Linked DNA regions of Kluyveromyces lactis. The protein of the gene in region 2 interacts with the protein of the main gene of each other region in a biochemical or structural test. Links are inferred from orthologs where the notes say so. Each region holds a gene or a part of one and is shown on either strand. Other genes may lie near its edges. The genes, in order: YKU70 and YKU80.

Region 1 (3,817 bases), on a different chromosome or scaffold from region 2:
GCATCCATTTGGCACATATGAACGGACAAGACAATGCTATATTGTACTAAAAAAAGTAAAAGAATTCCAGAATCGAATCAACGTTCTTCAAAACGAAAAAGACGGTGATAATTCACATTGGCCAGCATTTTTCTGTGGCGATTTCAATTCTCAGCCGTTTGATGCCCCATATTTGTCCATCACATCAAAACCAGTGGAATATACCGGAAGGGCTAAAACAGTTATAGAGTGCAGCACTTCATTTACCTTCTCTAAACTAAGAGATGGGGATGAAGGAGAAGGAGAAGAAGGCGGCAACATTGAAAAATTTGGTAAAGGTCAACCTGAGACCCCCGTGCCAGAATCTTTTTCCGGCAACGAAGAGCAAAAGCAGTTATGTGAGAACATGAAAACCCTTCATAATGACATTGACATGCGCGCTATATCCTTGTATTCAATTGCTTACTCGAAAGTTCATCCTGAAAACTCAGGATTGGACAACAAGCGTAATGAACCTGAAATATCTAATTGGGCACATGCATGGAGAGGTTTGTTAGACTACTTGTATTATGTTACATCATGGGATGGATGCGATTGTACTAAGATAGATGAGCTATCAACATTTGAGCAAAATTATGGAGTTCAAGTTCTTGAGCTTCTAAGAATACCTCCCGCCAAGGAAATGACAGAGCATGGACAACCTCATGAAGGTGAATATCCTAGTGATCATTTGTGCATGATTGTTAAACTGGGAATCATAATGTAAATATTCATAAACTGTTTAACTATGGACTACACTACAGATTAAGCTTTGCTTTCTTATTTTTGGTGGGTTTCGTATCGACTTCTAAGTTACTCAGACGGTTGTAGAAAGAATTCCAAAGTTTCAGGTATTTTACTAACCGTTGTTGCTTTACGTCATCAGATTTCGCAGAACTGGCAATTCGTGCATAAATCTGCTTCACCTTTTGAAGGGTTTCATCACCTTCATCTTCAGGTTTCGATTTATCCACCTCAATCTGTAAAAGGTATTCCCTTAATATTTTGAAATGCTTTTGTAATGCAGGGTTATGAAAATCTGATGGTCTATACCCATTTTTGAGATTGAAGAAGTTTATCAAAGTTTCTGTCACTTTGCTCATCACTTTATAATCATCTGATTCTATTAACGCAGAATGATTTAAGAAATCAGGAAGTTTTCGGACCTCTTCCATAAATGGAACCTTGTAGAGATAGAAACCTTGGTTATAATCTTTCTTGGAGCTTGGTGTTAGGACAAACATGGATGGTGGAGAGTTTGGCCGTAGTTTTCCCCAGACCATTGCAGACTTCTTTTTGAATAACATTGTTCTATATAGTGATGCTAGTGTCTTGATCGAGCCTGCATAGTCTTCCTCGTTCGGTACAACAAAAGCTGGTACGTCAATGTTGTCATAATAGTGTAAACACTGTTCCGTTGACCTGAATCCTATTAACTTCAAAAATGATTCATGTTCGCTGTATCCGCTTTGAATTTTGAGATTCTCGTCTTCTGTTAATTCTATGATCTCATCGCCAAAAGTGTAGACCTTAGACAACTGACTATTATCAACTGCTTCCCCAGTTTCAGCGTCTAAATATTCTCGGTGAGAGTATGCCTCTCTTCTGACACTACCGTTGGCATATACAAGCTTGTATTTCGAGCCGGGTATCTCATGAGAGACAATAGTATATCCATTCACTGAAACTACCAAATCAGCTCTTTCATCTAACATCAAGGGGCATCGGAATTTGATTCTCTTGATTTCCTTTGTTCTTTTCACTTTCGATTTTATGTACGATGCATTAATGGGATTAGTACTAGGGCCGTGTGAGGATAGCCATGATTGTGCTTCGTTGATCTTTGAACCCCATTTCAAGATATCTGCATACATAGAATCGTCAAATGGTTTATCTTCAGAACCAATGAAAAATGTGACAAAATTGATATAATAGTCATATAAATCGTCGACAACTTTTCTAAGACGAGATCTGCTGTCAACGTTCAAGAACTCAGCCGGTTTGTCGTCATCAGTAAAAAAAAATATTTTCTTGTTAGTCAGTTGCTTCTGTCCTTCTATCGGTTGTAAAAATGTTTCTCTAACTTTGATCAATACTGGAGAAAGTTCAATTGGGTTGTTTGGGTCTGCGATAGGAATCTCATCTTTGAGAAGTATTCTATCCTGTTCTATATCTTCCAACAGATCAGATACACGTTTCATATTCTTATAGTTCACATCACGTAACGGTATTAGTTCATACACATTATCTTCAGCGTTAGGATGAGAACAGTTGTAAATATAACAGCCAACTGCAGTACTTGGCATAACAACTACCAATTGTGACATTAAATCATTTAGTGAATCTAAAATCTCTAAGAGTTGAATTTTGCCTCCAAGATCAGGGTTTGAAAGATACATCGTGGGTGTTAGCTGAATACAAAACACGATACCATCATGTGCTTCGTAGCGTCTCCATTTCTTGTGATCACTTTCTTTATCATCGTCTCTTGTTTGAGTCAATTGACTCTTTAAAAAGTCAGGTTGTTCGAAAGACATCTTAGGTGCAATGGAATTTTCTATCGAAAACTGACGTAGTAACCCACTTTTTAGATCTTCAGTTCTGTGAAGGTTACACTAACCCTTTTCATTTTAACCTAAACCTTGAATCCTTCATTTACTTTGGTTATCTATGAAGGATCTCGTCCCTGATTTTAGAATTATCACCATTCACGTGATCGTGAATGACTTTTACTTTGAGCATGCTCGCTAGTTCCGGGAATAGATTTTAGCAATAGAGCTGTGATAGTAGTTCAGGATGGCATTGTCCGTTAATTCTGAGCTAACGATTTGGATCATGAATTTAAACTTACTTATATATTCTTCTATGTCATATCCCTACGTTCAAGAGCATTGAAATTTAGTTCGAAATAATACAGTTTTGATATGAAAGATTCAATGGGATGTATATCTCTTACAGGCAGATACGTTATCTACATAAACGACTGCTATTAAAGGGTTTGAGAATCAAGTTTTAATTCTGGTATCAGTCTCGTCTAGCCTTATCTTTACCGCAATCCTCAACCCCAATAAGAAAATATTATTGAAACATCTTCTGCGAACCAGGATTGTTACCAAACACTCAACCGCTGGGATCATTTTTGTTCAAAAAGAGCATCATAATCCAGTGACCGATATGGCTATAAAATTGAAAAATCGGTGGCTGGGCGTTGCAATACCTGCATTTCTTGTTGCATTGATTGGGTATGGATCTCATTACTTCATTCTTTCGAACTTTCTTTCATGGAATGAGCAAATATTCTATCAAACATGTCAAACTATGATTTGGGTTTCATACTATTTGGCCATTTATACCAACCCAGGTATACCGCCAAAGGATTTTAAGCCGTCTGCGGAAGAATGGCATAATTACTGTAAAAAGTGTCGGGTTTACAAGCCTGAAAGGGCCCATCATTGTAAAACCTGTAATCAATGCGTATTAGCAATGGACCACCATTGTCCTTGGACGCTCAATTGTGTTGGACACAGCAACTTTCCCCATTTTATGCGCTTCTTATTCTGGGTCATTTTCTCTACTGCTTACCTATTATTTCTCCTTATTGGAAGAATCTATCTACTTTGGTCCATAAGGCATACGGCTTTTCATCATAGGTCTACATCAGAGATCATTTTTATCTGCATTATGACTCCTATGGATGCATTTGTATTGCTCACAGTTTCTTCACTACTAGGAAGGTGTATTTATAACCAATGTTTGCATGGTATGACACAAATTGAATCCTGGGAGATGGACAGAATTC
Region 2 (3,893 bases):
TGACAAAATCCCATTGTGACCAATGACAATCTTACGAACACCGTTAGCAGAACCAATGGCAGCAATCTTTTGAATCACCACATCGTTGTAGTAACGACCATCACCACCAATGACCAAAGTAGCACCCTGAGATCCCTCAGGAATAGCTTCCATGATGGCTTGGATGAAATTTTCCGTATAATTTGGAGTTTCTTCAAAGACCTTGGTCTTCTTTCTCAAGCCCGAGGTACCAGGTTTCTGATCTGGATAAGGATTTGTAGCCACAGACACTGTTTTCAATGACATTATTATTATTATTATTGATTGTTGTTGTTTCAGATAGGGGTAGCAGATACCTATTTCCTTCTTTGCGTTTAGTTATAATGTTCAATAGCCAATACTCTATCCTCTCCTTTATGTTACAAAAGATGTGAGTATCAGTAGATGTTATTATCAGAAGGAAACCTTATAATGCAAAGTGAATGTGTTCAAGATGAATGATATTAATTGTGCAATCAATTGGTTTGTAAATCTCTGTGCCAAGCCTTAAAACAGGTTTTTCGTCTTGTGGCTCGTAATTCTTTCTGTGCTTATATGGAAATCTCGTGGTCGAGAATGGAAAGAAGGGAAACGAACTTTAGAGATCTGAAGAATATGGGGAAAAAGGCAGGTTTGCGGACGACAAGGGGCCGTCGTAACGTGGGTTGCCTGGTGCTGGTTGCCATTCGAGATGTAACCCATTCGATTCACCACGTTTTATCCCGCAATTGCATTTTTATACAGAAGTCTCATATATATATATATATGTATAGATATCACTATGTAACCAGTGCCTGAATTAGCTAGCGTGCACCGCGCGCTAATAAGAGGTCCAAATCGAGCAATTCAGGGTCTTGTTCTTCAAACTCTTGTTCAATATTCACTGGTGTTTGTACCGACACCTCTTTCTTTACTACGTTGAACTGTTCCTTGATCCTGTTCGACAGAGAAACGTCAGCGTTGTATTTTGGAGTAATCTTCTTGAGAATCATCTTGCTCATCGGTGGGATGTTTAAGTCCTGTTGATCCCGTTTCCCAACGATGAACTTCTGATGAACGCACTCGAGGATCACTTGCTGCTGTCTATGTAGTGAGATAGCTGGGATTGCTGATGGGTTTCTTGCAGTGGCTCGGAACATTTCACGTTGTGGTAGGGGCAAAGAGGACTGCTCCAGTGCCACGTCTGTATACTTCTGTATCTGGTCACTCTCGTACCATGGCAAGTCCTGTGCATCATTATCCAGATTCATTGAGTCGACAAATTGGCCCATTGCCTCATCTTCGGGCTCCAACTCGGTAGATTCGCACATCTTGGGGAACGCACTGTTTCTTTCATCTTCACTCATTGGAAGACGATTTAATACGAGTAAACGTACCTCGTTGCGATCTTTATCGTGCACTCTAACGGGGAAAAGAGAGCACATCTGTACCTCGTTACCGAATTTTGGTACAAACCGAGCGATGATCAACCTTTTCATCTTGATTAAAGAATCTACTAGCGTGACAAATCCTAAGAAATCACCTTTAGAACCGTTCTTGGAATCGGGAACTAAGTACATGGACTCTGAACAAAGGTAATGTCTTGGCAATTTATCTATATCCATAAACCCTCTTATGTCAAGTCCCGGTTTCTCGGAGAGTTTCCGTTCCTCGTCTAATGGCATCGGTAAGTCTACGTAATCCGCACCGTACCGGTACGCCTTCTTGATAAAATCTTTACTGACGTTAATCATCCGGGGTCCAGTGTTATTACCGGAATCACCATCATCGTCCTTCCTGGTAGTTTCTTTCTTCGGGGATGCACTCGTACTCGCGCTCTGATCTTCGATTTGGTATTCGATAACTGATTTAACAGCACGGTACGTGGGTTGCCCCTCTGAGGAACCCTCTTTCCTCATCACCTTCCTGGAAATAGAACTCACAGATTTCGTACCTGGTACACCTTCCAAATTGATACATAACGATGGTATTCCCAAATCTGATGCGTTAACGTCACCCAACCTCAACTGGCCCTGGAACGTCCTAATGGGCCTAGTCAATTTCAATTTCGGGTCAGCAACAGACTGAATAAGCTCATCGATACCGTATACCAACGGAGTACCTAATTTCAGCCAATTGCCATGTTTAGACTCCTGGTGGCCTTGCTTGTCATTGCAATCTGCTATCACGAGATCAAACGGACACTGATCAGCGAATGTGGACAATTCCTCATCTGTCACATTTTGCAAGTCCTGCGAACTGAACACCACAATCTTAACCTTCATCTTACGTTTCCCAACAAACTCTTTCAACTTTAACACGCTGATCAATAGCCCATTGAACAACATATCGTCATCGTCATCCTCTCCATTGCCAGTAGTGTTATTCCTCTCATCGTACCATTGTCCCAACCAACTTCTAACGTCTGAGATGGAGATTGGTGCCCGTGGTAACACGGGCAACATGGCCATATTATTCACGGGCAACGACTCATCGCTGGATGACACATTAACTAGATTTAATTGCACGTAATCTGTCTTTCTCTGAGATTGAACTTTGTTCAACAGTACATATTCCACATATGTAAAAGCCTTTAACCATTGGTCACCACTAAGAGAACCAACATCAACAACGAAACACGTCAGTTCGGACATCGGGTCTTAGAGCTAATAATTCGACTTCCCTTCTGTACCCCTAAGGCTTAGCTAAGATTCACGTGTGCTGGTTGTATTTGGTCTCTGTCCCCAATTTGGTGATATCTTGTTTCCAGACACTGAGTCTAATAGCAAAAGGCTTTAATATTGGGATAAAGGAGACACACTGAGGCTAGCTAAGTGGGGTAAAAGAGGAGTGTTTCGCCCTCTATATCCCGACTCCTTGATTAATTTCCCGTAACACTGGGATAACAAGGATACAAGAATACCAGGGGACAAGTAGTCAATACGATAATTCAATTGCTTATCTCTCCAATGTCTTGATCAGTAGTAAGCTTTAAATTAAGGGTACAATGACATATACCCTTTGAAAGGCTAAAATGATTAGTAACAAGTGATTACATGACCAGGGAGGCAAAGGCATGATCTCTGATCTGGGTCTAGGCCAAGATGGGGGTCAAGACTATATATAAGAGGGCAGCGAAGTGAGAATAGATGAGTAAGCCCATGGTATGTATAGATTTGTAGAGCTCAGTTATAGTGCAAACCACAACTAAGATCATCAATACAACCAATCAACATGTCACGATTCTTTGACGCTTTTGAAGTATACAACAAGAACAAACACGCACCAGCTGACTTTAAGTCACATGGTGGCAGCAGCTTGAACACGGGAGCCACGACGGCTTACATGTTCGCTCGTGAATACCGGGGCCCCAGCACAGGTGAAAAGAAGGAAGCAGCTGCAGCTGCGCTAGCAGCAGACGTGAAGGCTGGTAAAGTGGAGTTGGTCAACGATCCAAATACTGCCGATTCCTCCAGAAAGTCTAGTGTCAGCGAGGAGGCCATGCCCCAGATGGTAGACATATCGAAGTTGACTAGAGAAGAGTTTGAAGCTTTATATAACAAAATCAATCCCGGTATGCTTCGTAAAGGAGAACCTAACAACAAGGTCAATTTCTAATCAACTACACACCACTATTAGTATATATTTATAAGATTTACAACAAGTAAGTAAACCCTGTGTGTAACTAAGACACAGTATAACACACAGTAATAATAAAGAGATAATAGCATGAGCAGATTAAAGTACAGTGCCGTTCCAGGGTATTTCACCAGTTTTGGTGATGAAAACGTTCTGAGTCATCGTGGTGATGAAGGACAACATCTTGGATTTGTTGATGGATGTAGTGGTTGGGAAGATATCCAAAGGTTGTTGGATGAGGATTCGTCCTTGAAGTT

Evidence for each region.
Region 1: the proteins of YKU80 (region 2) and YKU70 are reported together in a solved structure, tested with the Saccharomyces cerevisiae proteins (4 studies listed by BioGRID, with this or other methods). The link is inferred for Kluyveromyces lactis from reciprocal best matches to the Saccharomyces cerevisiae genes YKU80 and YKU70.

The regions. Positions count from the first base shown.
Region 1 is NC_006039.1:549,421-553,237, reverse strand, and holds YKU70 (ATP-dependent DNA helicase YKU70), read right to left. Parts: upstream 2,556-3,817; coding exon 777-2,555; downstream 1-776. Other genes in the region: NGL2 (RNA exonuclease), read left to right, coding at 1-745; palmitoyltransferase PFA4, read left to right, coding at 3,193-3,817. UniProt on the Saccharomyces cerevisiae protein: Single-stranded DNA-dependent ATP-dependent helicase. Involved in non-homologous end joining (NHEJ) DNA double strand break repair. DNA-binding is sequence-independent but has a high affinity to nicks in double-stranded DNA and to the ends of duplex DNA.
Region 2 is NC_006038.1:1,104,088-1,107,980, reverse strand, and holds YKU80 (ATP-dependent DNA helicase YKU80), read right to left. Parts: upstream 2,652-3,893; coding exon 822-2,651; downstream 1-821. Other genes in the region: KLLA0_B12694g (uncharacterized protein), read right to left, coding at 1-285; SPG4 (Spg4p), read left to right, coding at 3,232-3,615; PMU1 (putative phosphomutase), read left to right, coding at 3,727-3,893. UniProt on the Saccharomyces cerevisiae protein: Single-stranded DNA-dependent ATP-dependent helicase. Involved in non-homologous end joining (NHEJ) DNA double strand break repair. DNA-binding is sequence-independent but has a high affinity to nicks in double-stranded DNA and to the ends of duplex DNA.